Danio rerio: one gene and its partners. The protein of the gene in region 4 interacts with the protein of the main gene of each other region in a biochemical or structural test. Links are inferred from orthologs where the notes say so. Each region holds a gene or a part of one and is shown on either strand. Other genes may lie near its edges.

What was found. The genes of interacting proteins can lie anywhere in the genome.
Region 1: the proteins of ptenb (region 4) and csnk2a2b form a complex in vitro, tested with the Homo sapiens proteins (2 studies listed by BioGRID, with this or other methods). The link is inferred for Danio rerio from reciprocal best matches to the Homo sapiens genes PTEN and CSNK2A2.
Region 2: the proteins of ptenb (region 4) and Na(+)/H(+) exchange regulatory cofactor NHE-RF2 form a complex in vitro, tested with the Homo sapiens proteins (2 studies listed by BioGRID and IntAct, with this or other methods). The link is inferred for Danio rerio from reciprocal best matches to the Homo sapiens genes PTEN and NHERF2.
Region 3: the proteins of ptenb (region 4) and rpl23 form a complex in vitro, tested with the Homo sapiens proteins (2 studies listed by BioGRID). The link is inferred for Danio rerio from reciprocal best matches to the Homo sapiens genes PTEN and RPL23.

The regions. Positions count from the first base shown.
Region 1 is NC_133200.1:14,587,696-14,591,628, reverse strand, and holds the start of csnk2a2b (casein kinase II subunit alpha'), read left to right. Parts: upstream 1-1,133; 5' UTR 1,134-1,982; coding exon 1,983-2,086; intron 2,087-3,933.
Region 2 is NC_133178.1:11,799,130-11,803,215, forward strand, and holds the start of Na(+)/H(+) exchange regulatory cofactor NHE-RF2, read left to right. Parts: upstream 1-1,286; 5' UTR 1,287-1,607; coding exon 1,608-1,814; intron 1,815-4,086.
Region 3 is NC_133178.1:32,233,304-32,237,558, reverse strand, and holds the start of rpl23 (large ribosomal subunit protein uL14), read left to right. Parts: upstream 1-1,455; 5' UTR 1,456-1,471; coding exon 1,472-1,484; intron 1,485-2,475; coding exon 2,476-2,559; intron 2,560-3,424; coding exon 3,425-3,553; intron 3,554-4,255.
Region 4 is NC_133187.1:19,017,980-19,022,902, reverse strand, and holds the start of ptenb (phosphatidylinositol 3,4,5-trisphosphate 3-phosphatase and dual-specificity protein phosphatase PTEN), read left to right. Parts: upstream 1-1,770; 5' UTR 1,771-2,393; coding exon 2,394-2,472; exon of another isoform or gene 2,473-2,540; intron 2,541-2,985; exon of another isoform or gene 2,986-3,285; intron 3,286-4,923. UniProt on the Homo sapiens protein: Dual-specificity protein phosphatase, dephosphorylating tyrosine-, serine- and threonine-phosphorylated proteins.

The DNA.
Region 1 (3,933 bases), on a different chromosome or scaffold from region 4:
TGTGGTCAAGAAAAAGAAACTATTATAGATCTTTTTTATCATTGTATTTACTCAAGAATATTTCAGAAATATTTGGAATTGTTTTTTAACAAAACAATGAAGCATAAGATAGAAATTTGTTTATTCGATGGGCTGTTTTATTCTGATAACGAGAACTTGAACTGTAAAGGACAACATATTTTTAATTTGTTTATGTTAGGAAAATACCAAATACATAAGAAAAAGTGGGCTCAGTGTAAACCAAACTTTTCCCATTTTCTGAATGACTTCAAATTATATATAAATCTTTAATTACAATCACAAAACAAAAAGCACTGAAAACATGTAATGCTCTGAAAACATTTTTCATGTAAATGTGTTTTTATTTATTTATTTTCGATATTTTTCTCTTTCAGAAAGCTATGTGAAATGTATATCTTGTTCTTGTGGCATTAATAAAACCAAAGAAAAAGAAGAATTTGGCCATTTGAATGACATAAAAATAAAACACAATATACTACTACTAATAATAATAATGTAGAGCTTCACGATTTTTGTAGTCTCTCTGGTAAAAAAGTAGGCCTACATTTGGAAAACCATGGACAACAACAAAAGCAAAATTGGTATTCAAATTATTAGGCTGCTGGTGCTTCACACCTTTTTATCGAATCGATCACTTTTTGTTTCAAAAATAAAAGTCACTTGTGCAATGTTTTCTTTATTTAAAAACAGTACAGTAGCAAAAAGATGACTTCACTTCATCAGAGTGTATTGTTTCTCGCACAGCTGGAGTTTTAGTGTTGGCTAAAACTGATTAGCTGAAGTCACAACAACCTTTTTCAATGCATGGGTTATTTTCACAATGTATGATGGCGTAGCATTCAAAATAGTACACATGAGCTCGTATGATCCAAATTCTGGATGCGGTTTGCCAGAATATACCCTGACCATCCTGACCGTCTTTCGAACCACCCGAGCCCTCCCCCTGGCCTGGCTACGGGACTGTTGTTCATGCGTCAGTCTGTTGTGCAAACGGAAGTGTTTCACATATGGGCGCATAGCAACGGACAGACGTGCCCACTGGCCATAGCAACTTGTACTTCCGGATTTTCGATGCTAATTGATAAAGCTACCATGAGCTTCCGGGTCAAACCGTAGCTGTCCGTTTTTTCCTGCAGCAGCACGGGGGGGATTGGTCCGGAAAACCCGAACCCCGCTAACAAGCACAGCACTGCACGGGATTATAAACGTTTTTCGCGATTCCTGCATAACGGCTACGCACGCGACGTCACTGTGACACGGTTTTTAGCGGAGATCAGTTAAACATCGATCTCGAGTCCACCGCCTCCCGTTCTCTCTCTCTCCGTCTCTCTCTCTCTCTCTCTCTAACCAGTCAATATCCAGCTTAGGCACTGGTTAGTTAAATTCTACTCACTCACCGTGGACTATATTTTGCAACGCCACTTACTCCAGACTGAGAGGAATCACATCCTGGCGCTTTTTGTTTTTCTTCTCGGTTCTCTATGCTTTGGATTTAGGGATTTGGGGCCCCTTTGGGGTGGTGGGGGGGTTTAACCCACAATAATTAGATTTAAACAAACCCCCCCGCCTACTATCTATTTTTAAACTTTTCACAAAACTTCAACACATTCAGATCGGAAATAGACGTCGCATTCGCACTGCCGGAGCATTTCACAGACTATCCACCATTCATTTTCAACCCTCTCGGAGCTCCAGGCGGTCAGAGCGCCGCTGACAAGCCGGGGAACGAGCGCTGCTCAGCGGCCAACGCGCTTTATCTTTTCCGCCGCTGCTATCAGATATCGCACGCCTCAATCGGATACAATCACATCTCCTGGCTGGTCTGCCTATAATCGCTGATCTTTCGTTTGTGTGTGTGTGAGTTTGTGTGTTTGCGCGTTTATCTCTTATTTTATTTTATTTTTGCGTGTTTTGGTTTGGATTTGGAGATTTCTCGTACACCCTGAGCCCCGTCACGCGCCATGCCCGGCCCGGTGGCCGGTAGTAAGTCTCGGGTGTATGCCGATGTCAACACTTTGAAGAGCAGGGAATACTGGGACTATGAGGCCCACGTGCCCACCTGGAGGTGAGAGATTAAGCTATAAAAAGCCCGAGTGCATCATCATCCAATGTTGTGTGTCTCAAAACCAGCTGCCTATATCCGTGCGCGTTTTGCGTGTGTCTGCTGCTTTCCTTTGCGCAGTGGTTCACATTGTAGGTTCGCTATCGATCGTGCTGGGAAAGTCATCAATCTGCGATCGAGCAGCCCCTGTTTGAGCTGCTGCTGATGATGATGATGAGAGGATGACATGAACGGATTTACAGATGCAGCGTTAGAGAGAGCTGTGTGTGTGTGTGTCCTCTTCAGCAACCACAGATTTTATGCAAATGCACTCATTCCCTCAAGTGTGCAATGCACATCTAGTAATTACCATTCTAAACCAGTGCACTAATAGAACATTTAGTGGTTTTAATGGTTGGATTCCTCTGAAGGAGTTAATGTGTTTCTGTTTTGCACGGTGCACATATATAATTACAAGCTTGATGAATGCGCTGTCATTATTTATTAGGGTTTTTTTTTTGTGTTTTTTCCCCCGTAGAATATGGAATTATAATACTTTAGCATTTTTCATGTAATTCTACATTTAAGGAACTCATCATGGTATAGTTCACCCAAAATGAGCATTCTGTCACCATTTACTCACGCTTGTTCTTAACATTTATGAGTTTCTCCTGTTGAACACAAGATAACATGTTTTGAAAGAACTCAAAAACTGGCAATATTCATAGTAGGAACTAAAGTACTATAGAAGTCGTAAATTCTTCAAAATATCTTCATTTGTGTCTGTCTGTCTATCATCTGTCGTTCTATCTTTCTGTCATTCTATCTACCGTTCTATATGTTGTTCTTTCTATCTATCTGTCTGTCTTTCTGTCGTTCTATCTTTGGTTCTAGCCATCTAATTTTCTATCTAGCCATATTGATTTATCTATCGTGCAATCTGTCTATCATTATGCCTATCATACTACCTGTCTAATGTTCTATCTATCTATCTATCTATCTATCTATCTATCTATCTATCTATCTATCTATCTATCTATCTATCTATCTATCTATCTATCTATCTATCTATCTATCTATATGTCTGTCTGTCTGTCTGTCTGTCTGTCTGTCTGTCTCTCTGCCTGCCTGCCTGCCTGCCTGCCTGCCTGTCTGTCGTTCTATCTATGGTTCTAGCCATCTAATTTTGTCTATCTAGCCATGTTGATTTATATATTTTGCAATCTGTCTATCATTTTATCTTTCTGTCATCATACTATCTATCTATCTATCTATCTATCTATCTATCTATCTATCTATCTATCTATCTATCTATCTATCTATCTATCTATCTATCTATCTATCTATCTATCTATCTATCTATCTATCTATCTATCTATCTATCTATCTATCTATCTGTCTGTCTGTCCTGCCTGCCTGCCTGCCTGCCTGCCTGCCTGCCTGCCTGCCGTCTATCCATCTATCTATCGTTCTATCTATATCTGTCTGTCTGTCCATTTGTCTATTGCATAATCATAGTATCTCTATCTATCTATCTATCTATCTATCTATCTATCTATCTATCTATCTATCTATCTATCTATCTATCTATCTATCTATCTATCTATCTATCCATCCATCCATCCATCCATCCATCCATCCATCCATCCATCCATCCATCCATCCATCCATCCATCCATCCATCCATCCATCCATCCATCCATCCATCCATCCATCCATCCATCCATCCATCCATCCATCCATCCATCCATCCATCCATCCATCCATCCATCCATCCATCCATCCATAGCATTTTTCATATAGGTCTTCATTCATGGAACTGATCATGTTGACTAACATAACACTTTAATGGTTATTTTAGTTGTGATTCA
Region 2 (4,086 bases), on a different chromosome or scaffold from region 4:
CAAACAATTAAGACTTTCTCCAGAAGAAAAAATATTAGCAGACATGCTGTGGAAATTTCCTTGCTCTGTTAAACATCATCTGGCAAATATTTAAAAATCAAAGGGGGTTTATAATTCTGACTTCAACTGAATATATACACCCAACTAAATGTTATCTTTTCCATTCTGGTATTACTATTGCTACTATTACTACTACTATACTTTTATAATTATGGCTGTGTAAATAACCTACAGTTTTCAAAAATATTAAAATAGAAAAATACAAAACTATTAAAAGAATACAGCTGTTCTGTGTCAGTTAAATCAGTTGACTGTTGAAATTAAAAATTTTAACCCAACTGGTTGAGTTATTAATGTAGATAACCAAATAAAAATATATATCCAAATAAAATAAATAACCAAATAAAGGTTAAACATGACCAAACAAAGGACCAAATATTTAACACAACTGGTTAAGTTATTATATATATATATATATATATATATATATATATATATATATATATATATATATATATATATATATATATATATATATACGTGTGTGTGTGTGTGTAATATCTACATTTACATAAATATTTACAGTTGAAGTCAGAATTATTAGCCCCCCTTTGAATTTTTCTTTTTTTTTTGTTGTCTTTTTAAAATATTTCCCAAATGATGTTTAAGAGAGCGAGGAAATTTTCACAGTATGTCAGATAATATTTTTTCTTCTGGAGAAAGTCTTGTTTGTTTTATGTCGGCCAGAATAAAAGCAGTTTTTAATTTTTTTAAAACCATTTGAAGGTCAAAATTATTAGCCCCTTTAAGCTATATTTTTTCTCGATAGTCTACAGAACAAACCACTGTTATACAATGACTTGCCTAATTACCCCAACTTAATTAGTTAAGCCTTTAAATGTCACTAAGCTGTATAGAAGTGTCTTGAAAAATATCCAGTCAAATATTTTTTACTGTCATCATGGCAAAGATTGGGGGATAGGGCTAATAATTCTGTTTATATGCATGGGTACTGCATGTATGTGCATATATATTTTTTCCCATTTAGTTTTTACCAGTTGTTCATAAAAATTATGTAAAAAAATAAACATACATGATTCCTTAATCAATAACTGCTATTTGACATTGTTTACATACATTAATGAGGGTCAAATAAGCCTCTTTCTCTGCTCATCTGTATTGTCGCTTATTTATGGGCGGTCTTTTTTCACGCCACGCAGTTTCTCAGTGGACAGCATTTCTCTCTCTCTCTCTCTCTCTCTCTCTCTCTCTCTCTCTCTGTGGGCAGAATGTCTCATGGAGGAGTTTTGGATGCGTCTGTGAACATCCACAGGTAGTTGCACAGTCTGCTTTTAGCGCTATCACTTTTGCATGTAATTCCTCGCGAGCGCTTTTGGACACGAGAGTCTTCTGCCTTCATATCTGTTTTAATTGTTGCATGCGCGTTATTGTAAACACATCGGCATACGGCAGCGATGCGCGTTTATAAACCTTTGCGAATGCATTTTACGTAAGTTTCCGCTTTATTTATTTATTTTTCTTTGCTTGGGAAATCGCGCATGGATTGTGTTGCAAGTTTGTGAATGTGAAGGCAACGGCGGAATACAATGGCAAGCGATTTGAAGCCTCGCTTGTGCGTAATGAAGAAAGGAGAGAACGGCTATGGGTTTCATCTGCACGGAGAGAAAGGAAAAACCGGACAGTACATACGGAAAGTGGAACGCGCGTCCCCGGCGGAGGCGTCGGGACTGCGCGCGGGTGACCGTGTGGTGGAGGTGAACGGCGAGAACGTGGAGAGAGAGACACACCATCAGGTACATCAACACACACACACACACACACACCTGAGCTGCTGGTCTCAAATATTCAGCACACATTATACTGGATCCTAATGCAGGATCGTATTATTATGCATTTTATTGCTTATAACAACAACATGTGTGTTAAAACAAGTGCTTGAAGATAATTAGATTAGGATGTATCTCCATATGGAAGCAGAAAGAGCTTTATTGCCACTGCCAGGTAAGATTTTACATACAAGGAGTTTGCTTTTGTGACAGAAGAGTGTATCAAAATGGCAGTGACAGGACAAAAACACTGATAATAAAGGAATTAAATAAGTAAATAGAGAAAACAAATGCATATTACATTAGGCAATAATGTGTGTAAAGCTATATTATGTGCAAATTGACATGTAAACTGAGTATGTTGTTAAATAAATGTGTACATATGTCGGTAAATAGTTTTGTTCCATTCTACAGGGTGTCCGTGGGGGTCTTAAAATGTCTCAAAATCCAAACTTTTAGGCCCTAAATTCACTGAAACATTGTATTGTAAGTCCTAAATCATGTTAAACAGGTCTTAATTTTCCTGTATTCATGTAAACCTGCCCAATCAGACCAACATCCTTCAATCCTTCCATCTCAATAAAAGTTTTAACAAAAGTTTATTTAAAAGGCACCTATTTTACCCCTTTTTCAAGATTTAAGAGAAGTCTTTTGTGTCTCCAGAGTCTGTCTGTAACGTTTCAGCTCAAAACACTTCTGATTATTTATGAGACCTTTCAGACTATTGGGACTGTCCGCTCTGAACACTATGTAGTAGGGTTGGGCCGATAGATGATGCCGTTGTCCATCGCTGATGGCCAATAGACAACACGATTGCCCTCGTCGCAAATCCGCTCGCGATAAACACACACTTAGGCCCTGTTTACATTAATACGTCTTAGTGTTAAAATGGCATTTTAGAACGAAAATGATCCACATCCACACCGTGTTTTACCCAGCATTTCTGAACAGCCCTCCGTCCGCTGAAAACACACACAGACAGCCACACACACACACACACTATCATGCGCTCGTTTGAGCTTCAGTGAGCAGAGCATGTCAGACAGTTTATGAAGGATGTACCGCTGGATTGCGTCTCACTGTAGTTGTTAAACGTGATATTTAGACATCCCAAGTCTCCCGGAAGTTCCGGGAGTCTCCCACAACTGCTTTGAGACTCTCGGATCCCTCCTCGCTCTTCACACACATCGCGCACACTCTGTCAAACTCCGTCTCTGTCCCCAAACCCCAACCCCCCGCTTTTCACAAACATATATAACCGGACAACCCTACCCCCCCGATGATGCCATTACGATGGCAAATTGTCAGTGTCCTCATCTCTGGCTTTGTCAGATAAACAGCACAGTTACAGATATGAAGGAAGCAGACCTCACGTAAGGTTTGTGAGAAACACTACAGTAAGAACTTTCCCAATGATTATTGGATGTATTTGTTGTGGAGTTAATTCAAGCCTTTCTGCAACAACGAGTCACACACAGTGTCCTTACAAAGTTCACACACAGACACACACACACACAGCTCACGCGTTTAACTTTGCTCTGTTTTTGCACGCAAATGTGACAGGGTACATGCTAATATCCACTGCTGTATAGCTGATATCCGTTATGTTAATGTACAAAATAAAGCTTATTTAACGTCCACAAACCGGGATTGAAGCGCCTTCTTTTACAATTGTACTGATATGCGGCTGCGGTGATGAATTAATGCGATTTTACCATCTTTAACCTACTTTATTACAAACATGCACTGTTTTAAAAACGTTTTAAACTTGTAAAACTTATTCTTTATCATATTTGATGATGACTGATGATCACAGAGAGCTGAACAGATCTTTTAATCCCAGTTGCTTTGCGCACGTCCTGTCTTGTTGATATGATTAAACGCATTACTATGGATGTTAATTCACGGCTGTCAGTCAATTCTGTGGACGGGGAAACCTCACTCCTATGTCACGTTGTGGTCGGCCTCAAAATGGAGGGGATTTGGATCCTATTTTAACGTCAGGAAATTAAAAAAATAGAGGCTTATTGTCTTTATATCACCCCAATATGACTGTGAACACACTATACCTACACACAGTTCTGTCCAAAAGATGATTTTCATCATAGGTGCCCTTTAATAACTCTTGTTTATTAATTATGTTTACTGAATCTATATTTATAAACACATGGTTTAATTATCTTTCTTACAATAACATTTGTTTTTATGTTTTTTTTTTATGTTTTAACTGGGTTATAGA
Region 3 (4,255 bases), on a different chromosome or scaffold from region 4:
CATCACAACTTGTCTAGTCTGAGAGATCCATAAATTAACAGCAAATTTTCATTTTGGGGTGAATGATTCATTTCTTTAATAGTTTCAGTGTATATTCTAACACATTGTACAACATACATTACATGTCATACATTTATAGCAAAGTTATAATAGTTCTCTACAAAAATGTAATTGGTCATATAGACAGTAACTTTAGCATGCACTGAGAAATGGCCATTTTTAAAGGGCTGGTAAACTGAAAATGTATCATGTATTAAAATCAACTCAGGTTTAAGCATGTTTTCCCTTTCTCATTATTCTAACATTATTATATTCTGTGAAAACAACTGGAGGCATGTACATTGTCCAGCCTATACAGCTGAATGCCACAAAAGTAAACAATTAGATACATAATATTGATCTGAGCTGTAAAATTTTACTGGTTATTTAACTAATTGTAAAGTTCACTAAAAGTTTACTCTTTTTTTTTTTCAACAAACAGCTCTTAAGATTTAGTCACCAAAAGGTGCCAAGCAGTCAATAACAGTAAACACACACACACACACACACACACACACACACACACACACACACACATACATACAGTACATTCAACACGCACATATATACATTTATACATTTTCAGTGGTTGTTGTCTGGGAATAACATACGTTGGAATGTCATGATTGGCATTTAATATATATATATATATATATATATATATATATATATATATATATATATATATATATATATATATATATATATATATATATATATATATATATATTTATTTATTTATTTTTTAAATACAATACATACCACACTATGGAATATGAAAAATAATTTTATTGATTACTGATCAATATGTATTCCTTTATTTGGATTCACAGGTGTCAAACAGTTTCTGGAGGGCTGCTATGTAGTCAATATATATGCAATAATTGAATTTTTCCCTTTGCAGTTAACAAACCAAATTTTTATTTCTCAAAAATGTACTTTCCCTTTGCACTTTATATATATATATATATATATATATATATATATATATATATATATATATATATATATATATATATATATATATATATATATATATATATATATATATATATATGGCCCTATATTGACTCCATAGCTGCAGATTTGCACAGTTCAACTTTAACCCTAATTAAACACACCTGATCAAACTAATTAAGTCCTTCAGACTTGCTTTAAACCCCCAGGTAAGTGTACCAAACAAAGCAGGGTTGGATCTAGACTGCGCAGAGCTGCAGTCCTCCAGGAACTGAGTTTGGCACTTTTAGAAAATTCTAGTTTTGTAATATTACCATGAGATGCTGAAGTGAATCAAGTCATACATACGACACACTAGATGGCGATGCTTTAGTTATGACGATGACGTGACGCCGGAAGCTGTGAAGTCTGTGGTGCGCGCACGCTTATATCCCATCATTCCTTTCTGTCTCTTCCTCTTTCCCTTTCAGCGACTATGTCTAAGAGAGGTAAGAAACACACATGAAAATCCGCAATCATCCTTAAAATGAGGAGCATTTAAGCCCCCTAAAGTAAAGCACAGGTTTATATGATCATGGAGGATGTGTATTTCACCCATATTGATGTCAATTCTGAATTTTAACTTGGATTAAAACAGAAATGTACACTTTCCGCTAGCAAGAGAAGCCATGTTTGCTAAGTACGCAGAGTGAAGCTCGTGGAGCCAGTGGTGGGATGTTGGAACTCTTCATATTTGAACCGTTTTGTTCGTAAGCAAGTTTTGGAGTAGAGCTTTATGATAGCAGCCATTTAAAATCAGTGAAGAGCAGCATTTGTGAGTAGTTAATTCTACAATATGCGGTGAAACCGGTAGACGCTCGTCTGAATGGTGGAAAGTGTAGTCGCACGATTGTATGTCAGGCTAACGTGTAAACGTGCACTATTAAACCAGTGCACAACGGGCTTCCACACCAGAAATTCTCCTTGAAATGTTGTCATCGTAAATATTGCGTTTGTGTTGTGTGGAGTCAAGCTTGTCCGGCAGCAAACGTCTGTTCACTTGCAACTGTATCGACAGGTACACACTTAAAGGTGTAAGTTAGGGAAATAATTCCGTACCAGACATTATTCTGCACAAGTTCAAAGCTTGTGTCATTTAATTTATCAAGTTGACAAGTCTAGGCAGAATAAGTTGTCTTCATTCGTTTTCATTTAACTTTTAATGCATCTATAGTTACTGGTGTTGACAGTTTCAATTGTTTTTTTTTTTTTTCAATGTTTTATTTCATAATTGGAAGTGAATGAATGAATTGTTGCTACTTTGGCAAGTTTTTGTTGTAGATATGCAAAATCAAAACATCAAGTGTTTTGATAGATTTATGGAGTCAGGTTAATTTAGCCAGTGTGCTATTCATGTATTATCTAAAATTTAAACCTAGTCTGTATTTTGGTGGTTTTGCTGTTTTTGTGAATTTTATTAATTTTGGTCCTCCTGTTTAGGACGTGGTGGGTCATCGGGAGCCAAGTTCCGCATCTCACTGGGTCTCCCAGTGGGAGCGGTCATCAACTGCGCTGACAACACAGGTAAGAAACTTGCCTTCGTTGATGAGACCAACTGAAATAATTTATTCCAGATTTTCATTTTTCTAAGTATTGCTTGGTTTATATTTCTTCTTAAACTCATATTTTTAATGGTTTGAAATTGTTAGAAACCAAGGCATGAACATTTCATAACTTAACTTGGACAGTTCAAACCACAGTGACGGATGTTTGAGACCTAAACAAACATGGATGGTCACCATGTCACAGCATGTCACTTTTCAGACATTACCTGATTAAACAGGAACCAAATTCAGAACGTTCTTGCAGAAGTCATTGGTCAACTAAAATGGTCTGTTGTAGTCTGAATTGGCCTTCAAGTTCTTATTAAAAAATTGTTGAAACTTCAGCTTAAAAAATCCTTTAAGTTAATTGAAGTACATTTAGTCCAACAGTAACATTTGTATTGCTTTGACTATTTTAATTTAAACTTTAATTTTTACAAGAGCTGGTGTGAATGCTTGTCTTGTGTATAGTTTCTAGCATAACATTGAAGTGCTGTTGAAGCAGCAGTTCGGAAGATTACTTAAGGCCAATTACTTTAAGTTTTGCAGTTCAATCTGGTTTCAGTCTGTAAATTATTTGAGCTTCTTGTCCTTCTTAAAAGCACTTGCTTCGTCTGCTCAGTGGCTGGGTGAGTTGTCGTGGAAGGAAAAAGTGAACCCCATTACTCTTGGGTGAGATGGCAGTCTCCACATGCTGTTTAATCTCAATCCGTGATGGAACAAATCTTTGCTTTTTCTTATTTCCAATCAGCTGAGGGTCAGCAGACATGCTGAACTTAGCTCAACGGCATTGAATATGCCAATTACAAGTTCATTTACTCAACTCTGCCTTTTCTCTCACTTAGGTGCCAAGAACCTGTACATCATTTCCGTCAAAGGCATCAAGGGTCGTCTGAACAGGCTGCCTTCCGCCGGTGTGGGTGACATGGTTATGGCCACAGTGAAGAAAGGCAAGCCAGAGCTCAGGAAAAAGGGTGAGTGCTTTCACAATTGGGCTTTATTATAGATGTTAAGTGAAAGGCTAGCATTAGACAGTCATACACCACACGAGAAGTGTTGTGCAGTGAATGTGAAGTTAAGACAAGTTCAAAATTTAATAAACTGGTAAAGGTTTGACTACGTAAATGACAAAAGGGAAGCTCAATCTTTTTAAGTTGCACTTTACAGTATGTTTTACTGGAGTTCTTTCATAAGAACATACTTTATTATTTGAGGTAACTATGGGAGGTAAGGTTAGATTCATGGGTAGGTTTAAGGATAATACCTAGTTATTACTCAGTTGTAATGACTATGATAAATCTATAGCCTATGCAGTGCACCGCATAATTGCGTACAACATTTTGACAATTAATATTTTTATTTGTATCACCAGAATATAACTATTTTTGTGCATTTTGAACCGGTTTTATCAATCCATTATGTCCATTAAAGGGCTTGGTCACAAACATCTTTAGAACTATACAGAATGCATCTAAATTTAAGTTATTACAATTTATTACAAAGTACAGTTTGAATTAAATTCAGGAGAAAACAAAAAAAATTTATTTAATTTTACCAACGTTTATTGATAACTTTTTTTTTATATATATATATATATATATATATATATATATATATATATATATATATATATATATATATATATATATATATATAAATAAATAATTTTTTAGTTA
Region 4 (4,923 bases):
ATAAACCTCAAAATATATTTTACAATAACATTGCTTTTACCATTGACTAGACCATGACAGATCTGTGCTTTACAAGCATCTTTTTCTACCTCAAAATCTGCTGACACTGAACTGTATGTCTTTAAAACATACAAGTTCATAACATTATTATGAATACAAAATTCATTGCATCAATTCGTATGTTTGTTGCACTTTTTAAGAGAGGACAAAACTTAAATATAATCTATACAATATTATGTAGCTAATGTGAAATTTATCATGGATAAAATACAAAAATGATAACAAAATAATAAAACTTGTTTATCTACTGCTAGTACCTACTACATTCAGTTGACACAGTGGATGCAGTTTACATTGTGACTGAACTTCTAGTTGACATTACTTTTAACGAGATATCAAAGTTATAAACACATTTTTTATTTATTTATTAAAAACAAGAAAGTTGATGCATTTAGATCTCCAAAGTAGGACCTGCTGTGCTGGCTAATGTTGGCCCATGGTAACCTTTGATTTGTCTCGCCAACCCATTTGAGAAGAAAGGGAGAATTGAGGAGGGTTCTGAGATTGTCATTTAAAATTAAATGTAACCCTTTGTTTGTTTGTTTATTTGTTTTATTGTTAAAGCCTAACTGAAATTGAATGTTTCAATTAAATGGTGTAAATTACTCAGATTTTGTTTAAATGTGCATACTGTCACCCGGCAATGCAGAGATTTTGGTGAGCAAATCAAATCAAAGGCAAATTGTGCTTGACTTCTGTATTCATATTCATTTAAGTTTTATTGCAATAATGTTTTCTTTTAAAAATGTATACTGCATTAGTTAATACAATTTAATGTAACATTTATTTTGTACACAAAGTAACAATTATTTGGAAATATTATGAAACAAATCACTCATGGCAACTTTAATGTAATGTAGTTTGGTATATTTACCATCGGCCACGGCTCTCAGTGATGTTTGGTTTTAGGCCCTTCTTACGAAAATGTTTAGGCACCACTGGTCTTGTAGCATACGAGCTTTATTCTAGAATATTCTGACAGATGGCGCTCTACAATAAGGATTTGCTGTCTGAAACGCAGCTAGAACTTTCCACCTCCGTTTCGTCCTTGGGGCAAAATCCACATCTGAGCAAACGTAACAGAACACGCCTATAACACAAATACATAATTAAATACAATTAGCATCACAGGTGGGCGCAATTAATTTCTATAATTTAATGTACAGGTATCTGGTAATATGATTGTGCCTCTGTGCAGTAACTTACTTTTCTGCTGGCGTAAGCATTTCAGTAATTTCCTGCAGGGTAGTCGAGGCACTGGTGAGAGGGGTACATAACTTACGTGCATTCTGATATTTTCTCCGTGTTCAGAAGTGGGACTAAAATAAACGTAGGTTGTACCTTTCAGTTATTGTGTGGCAAGCCAATTAGAGTTTGTTTCATAAAAGGAAACGACAATGTTGGAGCGGAACACCTACATAACTGACTTGAAATCTGATATAAAATATTGGAACTTGGCTCATTTCTGTAGACACGTGACCGTGGAACAAAACGTAGTCCGACTGTGTATTAGTGCGCTCGCAGTAACCCTAACATTAGATAGTTGATATATTACTTAATTTAACGCCATGTCAGCTCAACAAGAATGCTTTAAAATAAGTATATTTATATACTAGGATGCAAAAACATATTTGTTGTTGACATAAAATGAAATAGCCGTAGAACTATTTGCCAATGCGGATGAATATGTCGTCCGAACGTCATCTTTTTTCAATGGGAAGCCATGATGGAAGTTTGAGAGTGTAACAGGCAGTGGAGCAGTGGAGGATAAGGACAGAACCGGAGGTGTCTCTTACGCCACATTTAAATATCGAGTTTTTCATTTCTTGGTGGAGGCTGTCACATTTTGTTTCATGTGTTGGAACCTGGTCATCGCGGATTGTCGTAGAGTTTAATGGCTTTTATTTTCTAAGGATGTGTAGACGGGCTAGCGCGTTAGCCGTTGAGGCTAGACGGAGCGCGAGCTGAGTGCGAGCGGGGCTCTGACGACCGATCTTCAAGTGGAAGCACCGGAGAGGATTTTCTCTCCGCCTTTCCGCTCAATCACGGCGGCTTCGGTGCGACCAGAGACTTGTCGTGCACTAGAGATTCTGCAGTTCCAGACGTGGGAAGTTGCTTATCTTTTCACCCAGGGCTCGTCTGAGCCGAGGAGGGCATTTTGGAAGCCGGGCCTGTGGTGGTTTGGAGCGAGGCCCTTGATGAGTGAGCCACAGCAGACTCCATTCTAGCTAGCTGGGGGACTGCGAAACGAGCAGAGCATAAAGACGACCGACCGTCCGAAAGCAACAATACTCTCTCTCACACTAAAAACCCTAAAGACTCCTGTCACAGCCATGGCTGCGATCATAAAGGAATTTGTCAGTAGAAATAAAAGGAGATACCAAGAAGACGGGTTCGACTTGGACTTGACATGTATCCTCTTTGATCAATCAAATGTCCCTGTTCTGTCTATTGTGTTGAAACCAGTGTCGGCAATGAAGGTAACGGCTTGCATCTTGTTCCAAATCAAGAAATCTCTGACGTCCCGTCCGAATATAAAAAGCTATGAGCATTTATTTACATTTTTTGCTTTTCCCTTTTTATAGGAACTATTGACTGAGTCCCCGATTGTACATGATGTGATCTAGATCAGTTGGTTTCTGTTCCTGCATCAGCTCAACGCCGTTTAGATTAATGTCAGTTGTTAATTTATCCACGTTATCGAGCCGTCGTTTCATTTATACGGTTATTTTAGGCTTGTCTGCAAGTTACATGTGACGACTACAATATAAGCAACTCCAGTGAGGTCATAAAATGTCATTTTCCTCATTTTACGTAATCTGATCTATCGATTGACCGCTAATCTGCAATCTAACTCCCAAAATGTTTACATTTCAGATCAAGACAGTTTGGGGGTTAATAACAAAAGACGCGTCGCAGGTTTATATAATGCGATGGATTAGATGAAATGCACAAGCAGTGTCACACAAAGAGCATTGCATCAGCTGCTCGCAGAAAATAGATGCTTGCGCTCAACTTGTAGTTTTGATTGACCAAAAAAAAAAAAAAAAACAAGTCCGTTCACACGCAGGCGAACAAAAGGAAATGCTTTAGTATGTGAAATATGCCTTTTTGTAATCGCAGGAAGGGATTCGTGCAGTGCAGCGCTTTATATTAGAAGCGTCATTGACGTTTGTTCCCCCGTTTGTGCAATATGTCAACGTCATTTGACAATTTCAAGCACAGGTATTGTATGCATATACGTTATTTGGCTTGTGATCGTTGCTTTCAGGCAGTAGCTTTATATCCTGGTTGATGAAGTGTTAAAGCACGAGAGGTCTGGTTTTATTTCAGCAGGTTTCAGTGTTATTGAAGATCCTTTTGATGGAGCTTTACCGCCAAGTCTGATGTTTATCTACAGTCCATTGTCCTTTTATATAACTCTTAGCTGTTCTGTAATATAAACTCGCATATAAGATTAATTTATATATAAGAATAATATTTATATATAAGACATTAACAAAGACTAGAAGGATAGATAGAGGGCAGGATCAATACATTCAAGATGAGCAATAAATTCACTTTTCAATAGCATTAAGAGTATGCCATGCCTTTGCATGTTTTGATAATCGTTCAATTTTTAGCATATGCATACATTGAACAAGGTCTAGTGTATTACATGAGCCATCCTGTAAATGAATTGATCGCATGGACATTGATTTGCCCCAGCCTGCTCAGATGGTGTGTGGGTCACTATATTGACCCATTGCATTGCATCATGCAATGCACTTATTGCGTTTAAAACACACTGTCAGGAATAAATTTTAAGAATGACTTCATTCTTTCAGTCCACTTTTGCTATAATGATAAAGCAATGCTATCTATGGCAAAGATCAGTGAGAATACACACTTTTAACTTTACAATTCTTATCACACATCAGAAAGATCGTTAACTAGACATACACATTTAATCTGTCTAAGATCAGTGAGAATATATACTTTTCACTTTACAATTCTTATCATAGATCAGGAACGAATGCAAACTAGACATACACTATCTTTTTTTTACTTTAAAATATGTAAAGTTAGTCTAGATTACACTAAAATCAGTATAGAGAGTTTCAAGATGAAGAAAACTGGCCTTACTAACACTAGACCGCTATTGTTCTTGCATGTACACAGCGCTGAACCAAAAAGGTTTAAATTCAGCATTCTGTTTGATCCCTTTATATCAATAATTGGTTAATTTAGAGTTGTTTTTATTTTAAATTTAAAGAATGTTTGAGCTTTTATGCTAATATACTTTATAGTGTGCCATGAATTAATTGCAATCTTAAATTTCCCATTGATTCCTGTAAGACTTTAACATCTCATTAAAGATAGCTGAGGTTGTGTAGGTAGTAAGTTGGCAGCTCAACAATATAACATGCAGAACTTTGTATTATGTTAGTGATGTAAAGTGAATGGCTCTCCAACTTTGAGTCTCACACTTTTTTGTTTATAACCATATCTGTTGTGGCTAGTGTAGGGTACAATGGTTGCTTCATTCAGTGCAGTTTTCTTTTTTTTTCAGTGTTATGTGTGGAATGTATGTTAAGAGATACAGACTCTTTCATTTGTTGGCAAGAAAGTTATTCTGATTTAAAGTTTGATAGTATTGTGCATATCTTTGAAAGCTAGATAACTTGGGAATGTGTGTTTTGATATTTGGTCTAGCAATTTATATAGGAACGTTTTTGCGTGTTTGATAAGGCGCTTGAATTTACTAAAGTTCTTTGCGTTTCAGACTTTTTGAATCAAATAATCCTTTTGGCCCCTGAACCATTAACAAATAGCATACGCTGCAAGTCTAAAGATAACATTTATGAATATATGAATTTTATT